2 linked regions of the Drosophila melanogaster genome follow. The protein of the gene in region 1 interacts with the protein of each later gene in a pairwise test. Each region holds a gene or a part of one and is shown on either strand. Other genes may lie near its edges.

Region 1 (4,374 bases):
GATAATTCCATTAAGGGGGGTGTTCGTTTGGCTGAACATAAATAACCTACCTGGAATTCTTGTTCGATTGTTCGCGGTGTTTATGCAAACACAAAGGCGTGTTGTCTGTTTGGTTTGTTTGTAAATAGCCAAGTAATAGTCGGCCCTAAAAACAACAACAACAACGGCAGTCAGTTGAAATGCCGCTGGCGGTAGTGAAAAACAAATTTCCTCTCTTATCTCAAATGGCTTGCGACTGCCCATTAAAGCGATTGCAATTAGCCCCAAACGAATTTTTCTGTTGATCTACCCTTTCGCAGAGTGGGTCCATTAATTTCGTTCTCAGGATGACTCACGTTCGAGTCCATTATTTTGCGATTTAAGTGTACAATATTTAATAATTACGCGATTATTTGGTGAAAGTTCATGGCTGTCTTTTGGTTTCTTTCTCATTTTTTCGTAGTTATCTATATCTAAATGGCATTTTAATTGCGAATTAATCTACGAATGTATATGCTACCTATTTGTAATATCATTCCATTTGCTTACATTCAGATACTTATCTTTATTGAGTTGCTTTTGTGAGCGGTATTACCATTTATTTGCAATCTTAAAGATAGCACCATTCATAAGTAGCTGTAAACATTGTTATCGTATATTTTTTGAATATTTATCAGCCAAAAGCTGATATCGCAGACAGGTAACTCGAAACTTTAGCACCTGCCCTCCAATTTCGAATTGAACAATCTCATCTCAACTTCTGACCTCTTATCTGTCGGCGGTTTAGCCTGTTGTCTTTATTGCTTTTTCGCTTTGGGCAACGAATTGTTTTCTTGTTTTCTTTTAATTGTCGAATAATATTGACTGGCGGACTTTTGAGCAAACTGTTTGCCACTGTCATCCGCATATCGCATTTTTTTTCGTGTTTTTCGAAACGCCGTTTGATATGGCTTATGTCTGTGTCATTCGGAAGTGGAAATTGTTTGCGTCGATACGCTCGAGAGCATGACATGGAGATGCCATTGGGGCCACAAATACATGTGAAAGCTCACACAAAGATGCCGGCTATACACTGGAGAAAATTACCTTGCCGAGCTAATATTACATAGTCAGAAATCAAATTGTATGTTGTTTATACAGTCAGAAAAAACGCTTATTATTGGAAACTACAATGCGTATATAGGTATTTCTTTTAAACACTGTATCGTCTTGCAAACTTGTAAAAAATCTTTTAAATAAATAGTTTAAGTTCATATAGTTTTTAACTGCAGATTTGTAAGAATTACACTTTTTTAAAGTTCAATAAATTTTACATATCATATGTAGTGCCCGTTTTTCCCAGTGTACAAGAGCGGATTTTCAAATATCAGCGACACATGTGCAACCGGCAGAGTGGAAGGCATGCGTGTCCGTCGTCTGCCCCTGCCACATTGCCACTCCCCCTTTGGTCGCCCCCGTTTACCCGCGAAGTACGCGTTTATTTTTAAAGCAAATTGCATTAAAAATACCTCGCACTTTGCTAGCGTTTTGCTATTTCAATTGCAATTGCACAATTGCACCTTGTTCTTGCAATAGCAATTGCGCTAACTTATTTTCGTTCTCGATTGACAGCGGAAAGTGCAACAAATAAAGTGCGCTCAGTCGGAAGAGCTTTGGCGTTTTTTAAATTAACTCATAATATGTCCAAATTTGGCTGTCGCATCGAATGATTCACGAATTCGTGATGGGTGTATATGAACTTATCATTCCACAGCAGGCGTCTCGCATTCGATACAGTGGGTTGAAAAAACTGTAAAAAAAACCATTCAAGATCAAGAGCTACTCTTACCAAATAAAAGGGAAAAGATACTTAAAATCTTAAGTTCACTTATGTAAGATCGGATTCACACCTCAAATTTATCCATTGAAATTTGTGATAAACCGTTAAAGCGTGATATTTCCGCTATTTTCCAATACAATACCCATAAAATGTGTCAACAGTGAATTCAAATTTGGAAATTTAAGTATGTCGATTGCGCCTTGGTGTGGGTTTGTCAATAAATTTGTGACTACGTTGCTGGAATAATTATTTGCGAAATAAGACATACCGTTCGTTCGATACATTTATAGTTTATTGAGATTTACTATTCGTTCTGGCTCGCTATCCCATTGCCAACGACTTTGCCACTAATCTTGGCCATTTCCCAGAAGTAATCGGCCACATCGCTCACGAACTTGGTGGATATATTCTGCAGCTTCTGGCCGGTCAGGAGTGTCTTATATTGCAAGTCGGTGAGTCCTGTCTCGGATTGCCGATTAATCAGCAGTGGAGAGTCCTTGAACTGCAAAAGGGATATTAACAGTTTGTTTATTTGATGAATACCAATGTAGGTATCTATTACCTCTTCGAAGATATTCTGCCACAGCTCATCCTTTCGGTCCAGTTCCTGCTCATCAATGGCTTGGCTCAGGCGCGTTATATAAAGACTGATATCTTGGAATCGCTTGGTCTGGGGATTCAGAGCGGCCTTCACCTCGGAGAAATAGGCGATTTGTGATCGGAACAACGAGTTCAGCAGGTGGACTGTCTCCTCCTTGGCCTGTCTCTCCAACTCCCTTTGCACTGGATCATCGGAGTTTAGGAGTTGTGGATTTGTGGGCTTGGCAGCCACTATTAATAGCTGTTCAATTAAAGACAGTTTTTTTTTTTAGTATTTTAATAAATTTGGAGAACTTAACGCATTCCTAACCTGGGCTACTAAAAGTAAAGGAATATATTTCAGCATCGCGTCTTATTGATAAAAAATCGAAAGCCTCCTCACTCAATGAATGGTGTTTTCAAACTAATTGGTGGGAGCAGCAGGCATGTTTTGATTAGCAGTGGGATGTTCGAATCTCTCGGGTGCCTGATAAGCTCCCAAGGGTTTCTCCTGCTAGGAATTTTGTTTTGCTCTTTCCCGATTTCGCAGATGATAATAAGCTTTTCCCAACAAATTTAGGAATTCGATGTCATCTGAATTGCGTTTCAGCTAAAGTTAGTGAAACACGTTTTTAGATTCGGAGAGCATATTAGCCATTGATCTATCTTTATTCGCTGTCAAGGTCTGTCTAGCTGTCTGGGTGGTATGGCGCTCGCATGTTTTTTGTTATCAACAAACATAGGAATAACCTTGACAAGGGTATGGTAAGAAGAAACATACATAGGTTTGCGTACACAAAACAATTAATTTGGGAACTCCGTTGCAATATGTTCTCATATATTATTTAATTTTATTAAATACCTATTTTTACAGACGCCGAAAGTTTTTCTATATTTGTATGCTTTGTACAGACAAGTTGTTTATTACCTATTTTACTGTTCATTCATAACTATTCAAATTATTTGACATACATACTTTTATGTATTGGCGCAGGTATAGTAGTTCTTAACTACTTGTAATGTATTCTGCAAACTACTGATATTTTTAATAATTATGCTAGCAATGCTAAAACGCTAAAATAAGATTGGACACTTATTTTTTACAAACTCTACGCACTCACTTTACATTTGACATTTTTAAGTTATACATTTTTTTACCTTACACGCTACTAGAAAGTATGCAGTGGAATTTAAACACCTCATTGCTCAAATAGCTCAGCCAAAAATAAGCCGATGGCAAATATAAAGGTCTACCGCAAAAAAGTAGGCAACACAATTGAGCTATATTTGGATTGATCTAAAAAAAGGAATTTTTATTAAATGTGGCGTATCACGAAACGGTAAAAAGTTGGGCCAATCTGATAAAATGTAACTTGTAAAGTTCACTTCAAGCATTATAATTCCCTTCAAAAAGACTCCTGAAGATGATCTTCTTGACAATATAACTTGTAACTCCAAATCAAGAATTTATACTAAACAGAACTTCTTGAGTAAAATTTCCTTTGTTTTGAAAACAATACTAATTGTACACAAGCATTGAACCAATTGAAATATGTTGATAAATTAGAGTAAAAGTAGAGTTATAAAAAACTACAGAGCTAGAGGGCCTAATCATTTTTAGCAAAGGAAATGCTATTATAAGTCTAATCTGTGAGATTAGATTAAGCAAATTGCGTGTTTTCCCTGCCCTGGTGGGCAGTGAAATAAACCAATCCGCACATGGTTTATGGCCCGCACGTTTTTGACCACCGAAAATTGGATTATGCACTTGTTTTGGATAATATGTAGAGTTTATTTGGCCTAATTAGTTTCCTCCCGTAATAATCGCAATGATATCACTCAGAGTTCGGTCTCCGATCAGATCATTGCAAATGGGAGTAGCCTGTTCGCTGACCCAGGCGGCAACAAAGTCGGTGTTTTCATTAATCGTCAGGGTTACGAACTCCTCGATGATCTCGTTCAGTTTGCGATTGAAGATTCGGTACTTGGACAGGTTC
Region 2 (4,116 bases), on another chromosome or scaffold:
TCATTTTCAATGGCCGAAAATTTCGGTATGCTGCTGCCCAGTGCAGGGAGTTGAAAATTCGCATTCGCCGCATCCATAATGGATGATATGTCCTTTCGGCCCGCTGATCCTTCGGTTAAAGCAAAGCCACCGGGTTAACTGACCTTTGCAGTGCGGCCAACTTGAAATGCAAATAAGCGCCAATGTCCAATTGTAAAGTTCAGCAATCTAGAGTATTATTTATCACGTTTCAGCACAAACACATTGCCAAAAGCAAACAATTTAGTTTTGTGCGCAAAAGTTGCTGACGCTGGCACGTGCAATTTGAATAATTAACCGAACATTTTAATTAATGAAACAAGTTTGGTATTGACTTGGCCCAAAGTGTGAGTGCGTGTAGATACACACACTAGCACTTAAAAGTGTGTTTTGGCCCGAAGTGTTGTTGGTCATTTGCGCATTTATTAAATTAGAATTTGTGTGCCATTCGGTATGCTGTTTGCAGTGCTTGTGAATAACAAAAAAAAAAAAAAAAGATAATTAAAGTGAGCAGAAATAATTGGGCACTTTATTTATATTTTTTATTTAGTTACCATTCTAGCTATAAAATATGCTGCGAAAATAGGAATTATAAAACACATAGCTGTGTTGTGTGCCATTTGTTATAGTTTAATTGATAATTATTTCGCATAATTATTTCTCTTAATGAGTATAAACACTATTTTAAAACATTCCGAACAATTTATAAATGAAAATTTAAGCAAATGCTTAAAGTTAAAGAACTGACTTAATTATTCCATTTGTATTCCAACTGACAGCAGCTGTTGCAATTATCCCCCTTGCCAAAAACTAAAGTGAAAATGAGGTGGTGGAAAACCATATTCCACGAAGGAATGGCGTTGGCGGATCCCAGAAAGGAAACCGCCGACTGAAGCTGTGAAATGCGAAACGCAGCGGTATCAAAGGGGGAAAAGCGAACTGCCAGAAAAAAATCACAACTGAGAAATCAGAAAAAGGAAAAACCCAACCGGAGCCAACTCAATTCAGCGAAATCAACGCCAACGGCGGCTGCCTGTCAATTAAAACATTAAAACGCGCTGAAAAATGCAGCGAACAGGCGCAAAGTAAACAAACTGCGGAACATGTTGCAGTGCGGACAGCATTTTCCAACATTTTCCAACATTTTCAGCGATTAGAAGCATAGAATTTCGCAATGGAGCACTTAGAGCAGCACCAGAGTTTCGGGCCCAGACCACCAAACCGAGCAAAGAAATCCGATTCGTCGACCAGGGGAGGGACTAATGTGTGACCCAGTTTGGATCACTGTGCAGGAAAGGAACTCTGTGTGTTTTGGCCATTTGCTTTTTGATCATTAAAAACTGGTTGGCCGCCGCCAGCTGAGCGCCCCACTACATTTGCGGTCAGCTTAATAGCACCGCTGCGGCCATAAATTAGTCAAAGAAAATCTATTGGGATGGCAGCTGGCATCTGTCAATGATTTATTCTTGACACATCATTCCGTGTTAGTTCTTTTAAGAATTAAAAACCAAATAAAATAATAGTAATGATTTACGGTTGGGTCTTAGTGCAATTGTTTAGTAAATAAAGTTATCAAAGGCTATTAATTACTATTTATCATAACAGTTGATCAACAGCAAAGAGTTCTGGAAGAAAAGCGTGGAATATTCGTTTATATTTTTGCATATTTTTGAATATTTTTTTAAACAGTACAAATAACTTTTTAGAAAAAGTTTTATCGTAGTCAAGAAAAAGATGATTTAGCGCACTGACTTCTCCAATAGCTGGCTTTCTTGGATAGCTAAACGCTCCTATTCAAACACCCCCGACTGTGGCTATCTGTCCACTTGAACCGCCCGCCCATGTCTTCGGCGGCAGCGTCGCTTGTGGCATTGCCGCTTGGGTTTATAAGCGGCCGGCGATGGCGGCGGCGAGCCGAGTTTCAGCGTCAGATTAGCCGAGAGCGCGCGCGTTTTTTCCCACGATCAGGAAAATCGAATTCCAGAGCCATGAAGGATCGATTCAAGTGGTTGTCGCTGGAGCTGCTCCTGCTGATAGGCGCCGCAGTCGCCTTTCCGGACGGCGCTCCGGCGGACACGTGCGTGAAGCAGCGGGCGAATCAGCCGAATCATGGCAAGGCCCGGAGTCAGCCGGCTCACTCGAATCCGTACGAGGTGGTGGCCGATGCGCAGACCTACCATCCCGGCCAGCAGATATCGGTGGTCATCTACCCGCACTCGGACCAGAGCACCGTCTTCCGGGGATTCTTCCTGCAGGCGCGTGATGCCAACTCGAACGAGTGGATCGGCGAGTGGGTGCAGAGCGAGAACACCAAGACCATTCCAGAGTGCTCGGCCATTACGCACTCGGACAACCGGGACAAGCTGGGCGCCAAGCTCATCTGGAAGGCACCGCAAAATAAGCGGGGACAAGTCTACTTCACGTAAGTTGGAAGTTATAGGAGGAGTGGGTTAATTATATAGCTCAAGCCAATGGAATTATTAGAAAGATCTAGAATCTATAATCGAACTAACTTTCAGTGTTAAGTAGTGCTCTTACAGTCACAGCAAACAACTTAAATGCATGCAGAAGTTTCACTACCAACTTAATAAAATAAATGACCGCTTAGCACCCATTTTTTCGGACAGTTTCAATGAAGCACTTTGTCAAAACTGGCTTCGTACAACGCAGTTCGTGTCTTCTATGGCCCATCACCCTCATAATAATCATCATTATCATCGGAGGCGACGGTGGAAGTAGCATAAGCCGTGGCAACATCATTGTGCCTCGTGAAGGGATTCATTAATCATACGCCACGTTGACCCACATAATGTAATGCGCGCATAATTGTCAGGCGGACAAAAACTTGCCGGATAATCGCACAAAAGGCATTATGTAATTGATTTATTTGGAAAGAGCACACCCCTCATCAATGGTCCACAAAAAAAGGCATCAAACGGCAAAGACGCCGCACAGTGACAAGCTCAAAAAAGCCAAAGAAAAGCTGTCAATGCTTTTTATGCAACTTTGTCAACTTTGTCGGCAGATAACACTGGCCAACATAGACAAGTGCCAACTGTGAATTAACCACACAAAACTTATTTTCCGGACACTTGTCTCATTTGTCATTCTACCAAAACCAAAATATGCAAATATGGGTATTAATCACAAACAGACAAGCAAAGTTTATGGACACATCTTGCACAAGATCTGAAATCAATCATCATAGTACACTAAGGGAATTAATGCACAGAATTATAAGCTATAAAATGTATTATTTTCTCCATAACCATTTGATTTGAAAGTACTGTAGTCCAGTGTCGTCTCACCTTAAAAATCATCTGCTAATATTGCCTAATCATTGTCTACTAACTATTTATAGACTTCCTTGCGAATAAATTAGAAAAAATCATGACTTGCGAGCAACCATAAGAATTAACATTTTCACTTTTCGCTGCAGGGGCACTGTGCTACAGGAGTACGGAACGTTTTGGAGCGACATTGTGAACAAAGTGCAGGCGGAGCGGCCATAACTGAAATTATGTACTTACTTTTAAGGCAGCCGGGCAATAAATCTTAAAAACCCTAATTAGTCAAAACGAAATTGTTGTTTGAGGATTTTTTTTCGACTGCCATTCACCATTCCGACGTCTTGGACGTCGGACGCCAAAGGCGCCCCATTGAGCTGTGCAATCAACATTACAGGGCAAAATTATTGGCTTTTTGGCTCAGCGCTTATGAATGACCAGCCCACATCCCAGCGCCCAACGAGGCGAACCAGTTCCCGTCGCCCACCACAGACAGCACCTTGCCACCCACATCCGCCCACATCCTCCCACCCACTCCACTCCAAGTCCGAAATGGAACGCACGAGCCGAGCACGTTTGGGTTTCCAGACACGTTGGCCAGCTTCTCATAGGAAATTCGTTTTGGGCGCCCCGGCAAATTGGAAACTCTAAGCACCTTTCAGGCTGGCTGTGCTATAAAGTAATTAGACGGCCAACGAATTTGACCAAGACATAGGCCAAGATAAGTATTCGTAGCATAGGTCTAAAGCACTTCTGATTGATTGCCCTTACAACAATAGGAAGCGGATAAGGATAAGGAATCGGTTTGCAG

What was found. Proteins that work in one complex are often made in the same cells at the same time.
Region 2: the proteins of CG33307 (region 1) and CG14515 interact in a two-hybrid assay, tested with the Drosophila melanogaster proteins (one large-scale study listed by BioGRID).

What each region holds. Positions count from the first base shown.
Region 1 is NT_033779.5:13,838,736-13,843,109, forward strand, and holds CG33307 (uncharacterized protein), read right to left. Parts: upstream 2,786-4,374; 5' UTR 2,745-2,785; coding exon 2,709-2,744; intron 2,640-2,708; coding exon 2,361-2,639; intron 2,301-2,360; coding exon 2,103-2,300; 3' UTR 2,067-2,102; intron 1,769-2,066; 3' UTR 527-1,768; downstream 1-526. Other genes in the region: CG33306 (uncharacterized protein), read right to left, coding at 4,182-4,374.
Region 2 is NT_033777.3:29,195,628-29,199,743, forward strand, and holds CG14515 (uncharacterized protein), read left to right. Parts: upstream 1-1,928; 5' UTR 1,929-2,006; coding exon 2,007-2,440; intron 2,441-3,457; coding exon 3,458-3,530; 3' UTR 3,531-3,584; downstream 3,585-4,116.